Macaca fascicularis: one gene and its partner. Each later gene encodes a partner of the first gene's protein in a complex. Links are inferred from orthologs where the notes say so. Each region holds a gene or a part of one and is shown on either strand. Other genes may lie near its edges.

What was found.
Region 2: the proteins of RALGAPA2 (region 1) and NKIRAS1 are in contact, whole or in part, in a crystal structure (PDB 9QU1), measured with the Homo sapiens proteins. The link is inferred for Macaca fascicularis from reciprocal best matches to the Homo sapiens genes RALGAPA2 and NKIRAS1. Residues at the interface, in NP_065076.2 of Homo sapiens: Pro20, Lys21, Tyr51, Ser52, Gln53, Phe56, Tyr59, Glu60, Ile63, Arg99, Phe102, Arg103, Trp104, His105, Tyr106, Gln107, Ser108, Lys185, Ile186, Tyr187, Pro188, Glu189; in NP_001364280.1 of Homo sapiens: Lys6, Glu22, Leu24, Leu25, Tyr26, Glu34, Met39, Glu40, Asp41, Val42, Tyr43, Met44, Ala45, Ser46, Val47, Glu48, Lys54, Gln56, His58, Tyr60, His74, Tyr75, Ser77, Phe78, Lys108, Thr162.

Annotation. Positions count from the first base shown.
Region 1 is NC_088384.1:66,928,113-66,930,674, reverse strand, and holds part of RALGAPA2 (ral GTPase-activating protein subunit alpha-2), read right to left. Parts: intron 1,836-2,562; coding exon 1,681-1,835; 3' UTR 1-1,680.
Region 2 is NC_088376.1:24,452,037-24,455,687, reverse strand, and holds part of NKIRAS1 (NF-kappa-B inhibitor-interacting Ras-like protein 1), read right to left. Parts: intron 509-3,651; coding exon 263-508; intron 1-262. UniProt on the Homo sapiens protein: Atypical Ras-like protein that acts as a potent regulator of NF-kappa-B activity by preventing the degradation of NF-kappa-B inhibitor beta (NFKBIB) by most signals, explaining why NFKBIB is more resistant to degradation.

The sequences.
Region 1 (2,562 bases):
TCTTGTGTTCAGGTGATTCTCAAGGTGCTCCTATCAGTGGCCTGGCCTCAAGTGCTACCTGCAATCCCCTATAAAGCAGAAAAGCAAATTCTCTCCAGGATGAGCAGGCCCACCCTTCCGACAGAATGACCAGCTCAGCCCTTTCTCATTTGTCCCAAGAATGAGTCTGGCTCCTGGGTCTTCCCGTTCTCTCTACAAAGGCCAGGTTCCAGCCAAACCAGCTCAATAGCTAATGGAAAAAACTGGCTCCTCAGTGAAAATGGCCGCTCTGATGGGGTGAGAGCCTCAGAAGGCTTCTTCAGGCCTGGGTGGCCAAGCAGCCTGAAGGTAACAAGTGTGTGCAAGGGCTGAGGGCAGAGGGCAGAGGATGGCGGGGAGACCTCATGCACAGGGCCCACCTTTCCCAGGACTGGCCCACCCATTATACGCCGAGTTAGGGGCTGCGTCTCTCGTGCTGCTCTCCCTTCCCACTGCAGGGCGTTGCTCTCTCCCCAGCCACTGTGAGAACAAAGCCTGCGCAGTGGGGATTGACTCTGATGAGTTTCTCGGATTTACTTCCCAAGTGAAGTGCGGGGTGGAGCAAACCTCTAGCTCTGAGGCAGGTCAAGGGTCCAGGGCAGAGCCCAGGGTCCGTGCCAGCAGCTCTTCACTGCTGACTGATTTCTCTGCTGCAGGACGGGCAGGGCCCACCCAGTGCCCCGCAGCAGGAGAGGGCTTACCATTGCTTCTCTTTTCTTTCATTCATTAATTAATTCATTCATTTTTTTAAGAAAGAAAGAAAGAAAGAAAAAACAAAAAACAGGTCTAATGTGCCTTCCTTGGAGCCAAATGGGCAAAAATATAAGGATTAAATCCCTTGCTTAGAATCTGCTACCAAAAGCTTTGTGTGACAAGAAACATTTCCGAGGCCTGTCTGAGGCCTCTCTGGGCAACAGATGAGAGCCAAGTTGCGGCGTGAGGCTTCTGGAGGCACAAGGCCATTCGGGGGGTGCCCGGCTCAGCCTAGCGCCTGAAGCCGGCATGCGCCTTTTGTGTGGATGTGGTCTGTGCTGTTTTGAGCCTTGGGACACTTCCTGTCCTGCAGGAACTTATGCAAGGACAGGACCCTGTATTTCTGGAATCTTCTGAGTGTTCTAAGATAGGGGTATCACCGTCACGACCTGAAGGGCCTCTGCGTGGTGAGCAGAACCTCGTTCAGTTAGAGGGCGTCAGGTACCAGGTGGAACAACACTGGACAACTGAGGTAAAACGTCTCCTGGGCAAAAGACCCTGGGGAAAGCCAATTTCCACGATGATGAAAGTTTTGAGTAAACCATAAATCCTAACTTAAAAGGAGCTAGCAAAATCAATGCAGATAGAATTCCTCAGTCAGACAATGGTTTCGCCAGCCCCTCTGTGAATCACGCTTGGGTTCATAAATGAGAAGAAACAACTTGGGGTGCAGAAGCCAGCTGCCCTCCGCCCCTCCCTGAAAGAGCAGAATCTTTTCCTGCTGTGATCTGCCCAGAGCAGCCACACCAATGCCCATGTGACAGTGGGTTCATCTCTGGTTTTTGGTGACTTTTTCGTTTCTTCTTTGGAAGTCCAAGGTTTGTGAGGTTTCAGGACAAGATGATACAGCCTAGTTTGAGTCCCATCTGAGATGCTGTAGTGGGATTCACCACGGGCTTCAGAAGTCCACTAATGGGAAGACCTGCTGAGGGCACTAGTACAGCAATGAAATTTCCTGGAGATTCTGGGTTTAGTGGCTTGGGGCAGAAGCAGGAGAGGGTGTTCTGTCTCCTCCTCACTCAGGGGCTCTTCGAGGTCAGCACTCAGACTGGAGGCCAGGGCCCCTGCAAAGGAAGCAGAGAACTGCTAAGTCATGGAGGCAATGGAGGCTCTACGGCCACACAATTCAGGGAGGATCTGTGGCACTCGGAAGGGAGGGAGATTCCCAGGAGAAGGGTCTGGTGACCTCCTCCCACGCTATGCCGGCAAAGATGTTTGTTGAATGAATAAATACATGAATGTCTTTCTTCTTATTCTTTGCTCTGGGCTTTTCTGCAGCATAAAAGAAGCTATGGATCTTGTGAAATTAATTCAGACTTACTGTCCAATTCATAAGTAAAGAATGAAGAGAAAAGGCATCTGGTCATAGTGAAAGGGAGGAAGAGCCACTGAAGAAGCAGTGGCTGGAGTCAATGGAAAAGCCCGTGAAACTTCAGAGGACGCTCTGCAGATCCCTGGCGGTGTTCCTGGAATCTCCACTTGTTTACATATCAATATTCTACACAATGAGTTACAACTCAATTATTCCCCAAAGGGCCTAAGACTAGAGGTCAGGACTAAATTGCTTGTCTGAATGAGTCCAGATGAGCATACAGCTGTTCAGCACCGGAGGGAAAAGGAATAAAATTAAAACCTGCGCATCTGCATCCCGTGCTTCCCCAGGGCTGCCGTCGGCGTGCTCAGAGGAATACAAGAATGCCTGCTGCAACACCGAGCCACTGTTGCGGGTGGAGCTGGGTCTCCCCTAGGGCCGTTCTGCCAGTGAGAGGATCGTTTCATCACCCTTCCCCT
Region 2 (3,651 bases), on another chromosome or scaffold:
GAGGCGGAGGTTGCAGAGAGCCAAGATCGTACCATTGCACTTTGCACTCCTGCCTGGGAGACAGAGCGAGACTCCGTTTCAAAAAACAAAACAAAAACAAAAACAAAAAACAAAAAAAAAAGAAAAGAAAAGAAAAAAACTGTAAAGGGTTAAGGTTTTACAGATACTAAGAATACATTGTAATGATCTGAAAATAAACTACCCAAAAGTCTGTGCTATAATTTAAATGGTATTATAATTCACATTTGGCATTTTTATCCACTTGCCTCTTTTTTGTCTTTGAACTTATCAATTTCTTTCTTCAGAAGCTCCACTCTTTGAAAGGATTCAAGGTTATTCACACTGTACACAAGAACAAAGCCATCAGCAAATGAAAAATAATGCTTTGGCAGCTCCACGCCTTCCTGTAGACCTCTGGTGTCATAAAGATGTAACTGTTCTTTTACTCCTCGGTCTGTTTCCACTGAAGCCATGTACACATCCTCCATTGTTTCGCAATCTTCCATTCCTGGGATTAAGAAAAGAAATTACTCTTTTTGGCTAAGCCAGTGAACTGCTCAGTATTTTCTTGTCCCTTAGAAACTGGCTTTCTAGGTTTCCTATTTACCACATATAATAATCACATTTCTATTTTACTTTTTTTTGAAACAGGGTCCTGTTCTGTTGCCCAGGCTAAAGTGCAGTGGCTCAATCTCAGCTCACTGCAACCTCTGCTTCCTGGGCTCAAGGGATCCTCCCACTTTAGCCTCCCAAGTAGTCCCTCCCAGCTGGGACTACAGGTGCCATCATGCCCAGCTACTTTTTGTAGAGACGGGCTTTCACCATGTGGCCCAGGCTGGTCTCGAACTCCTGGGCTCAAGCAATCTACCCACTTTGGCCTCTAAAAGTGCTGGGATTACAGGTGTGAGGCACTGCACCTGGCATAAACAAAATTCTTTTAAAAAATACTTCTTCTGCATAAAAATAAAAATCCCCTTCTTGTTTATGATATTTTAAAAATGCATTTTACCACTGTTTCATTTGTGCAAGTTTTATCTCTTCAACTAGTCTCTAAGTTTACTGAGTGAAAGGAACCATTCTGTATACACAGCAAATATTCAATAAGCCCTTGTTGATAAAGGAATTAAAGGGAGAAGATTAGCACTCTGAATTTTAATAATAGTGGAGAGACATGTGATAAGACAGGTAAGGTATAGTCCCAGTAATCACCTCCATATTTAAATATGAGGCCAGGTGCGGTGGCTCACGCCTATAATCCCAGCACTTTGGGAGGCCAAGGTGGGCAGATCACCTGAGGTCAGGAGTTCAAGACCAGTCTGGCCAACATGGTCAAACCCCGTCCCTACTAAAAATACAAAAATTCACTGGGTGTGGTGGCGGGCGCCTGTAATCCCAGCTACTCAGGAGGTTGAGGCAGGGAGAATTGCTTGAACCCGGGAGGCAGAGGTTGCAGTGAGCCGAGATCATGCCATTGCACTCCAGCCTGGGCGAGAGAGCGAGACTCCATCTTAAAAAATAATTTAAAAAAATAAAAATAAATAAATGTGAGATACATCCAGAGGTAAAATCACATGGGTAACATCCTTTATCCCCCCAAGTCATACTATGTTATAGTTTTTTTTAAAACTCTAGTTACAGTTTTCCTAAACAACCTATATACTGTAGAATGATTTGTTCCAGATGCCTTACATGAAATGTCCGTAAGTATTAGATTACATAAAATCTCCATAAGTATTAGATTAAAAGGAATAATCACATGGTAATATATAGATTGCATCATGAGAAACCAAAAATTTACTTTCATCAACATAACTCATAAAGAATGTATTCAGTGTTTAGAAAGGTAAAATTATTCATAAATTTGATTATGTATATACATGTCTGTGTCATCCTGTCATAAATTAAGCCCTAAGGAAATTAAAGGTTATCTATTAAGACACAAACATACTGGGCTTTGATTACAAATTAATTTAAAAGCAAAAACTACCAAGTGTTTTGTCACGTGACGTTTTATCCACCAAAAGCCAGTCCTGTTAGCCCACCCCTACCTGCCTCTCCAAAAGGGGGTCTAAAGCTTAGACCTTTTGATATTTTGGTACTCTAAAGATCAAATGAAGTCAAGAGTCTTCCACTAGTTCTCTAGATCTCCTCTCCCACTCCATGCTGCTGGGCAACAACCTATCTCACATGCCAGGGGACGGCTTAAGGGTGCAATCTCTGGGGAGCGTAAAACAGAGGCTGTCTGGCCTGTGGGATAAAGGCAATGAGTTCCACCATGAAAACGGGGCAATTAAGTGACATGCCTGCACACACACATACTGAATGTTGAAGTCCTCCAGCTCTCCCTTTCTGCTCCCAAAACACTGGCAGCCAGGACTTTATCCCCATCCAGAGGAATCTGGAGAATCTGGCCAATGGAAAAGGAGAAACTCCTAAATATACTGACATCTAGGCTTCCCCAACAAATGCCCCTGCCAGATCACTTTAGTGAAGCTCAAAGTCATGAACCCTATCCATATGCCTAGAGCTTCCAATTGGTTTTTTTTTGTTTTTTTTTGAGATGGAGTCTCGCTCTGTCACCCAGGCTGGAGTGCAGTGGCTGGATCTCGGCTCACTGCAAGCTCCACCTCCCAGGTTTATGCCATTCTCCTGCCTCAACCTCCGGAGTAGCTGGGATTACAGGTGCCCGCCACCTCGCCCAGCTAGTTTTTTTGTATTTTTTAGTAAAGACGGGGTTTCACCGTGTTAGCCAGGATGGTGTCGATCTCCTGACCTCGTGATCTGCCCGTCTCGGCCTCCCAAAGTGCCGGGATTACAGGCTTGAGCCACCGCGTCCCGCCCCAGTTGGCTTTTTAAGTCTTATTTATTTATTTATTTTTGAGACAGGGTCTCACTTTGTCATCTAGACTGGAGTTCACTGGGACAATCTCAGCTCATTGCAGCCTCGATCTCCTGGGCTCCAGCAATCCTCCCACCTCAGTCCTTCAAGTGGCTGGGACAACAGGTGCACACCACCAAGCCCCACTAATTCTTGTATTTTTTCGTACAGATGGGGTTTTACCATGTTGCCCAGGCTGGTCTCGAACTCCTGAGCTCAAGCTATCTGCCTGCCTCTGCCTCCCAAAGTGCTACGATTACAGGTGTGAGCCAATGCACTGGGCCTAGGTGTCCATTTTTAATTATGAACAGATAACCAAGGTTTAGTAGACACCTGAAGAAAACAGAGACTAACAAGAAGAGACCACTACAGAGGACACCAACTATACAAAGAAAAGAAAAACAAAACAAACAAAAAACTACCTAATCTATCAAAAAAATAAGATAGCACATCCATGAAATAGGAACAGGATACTGAAAAACAAAAACTCAATAGAAGGGCTGGAAAATAAAGATGAGGATATCTCCCAAAAAGCGGTACAAAAATATTGAGAGATGAGAAACAGGAAAGGAGAAATAAGAAAATTCAAAGACTAGTCCAGAAGGTCCAGCATCCAAAAAGATAGTTCCAGAAAAAAAGAACAGAGAACACAGAGGAAAGAAAGCAACAACAAAATAATTCAAAACTGAAGAACATGCATTTCCATCTAGAAGGGACCCTCTAACTGTCCACTATAGTAAATGAAAACAGACTGGCCAGGCACGGGGGCTCAC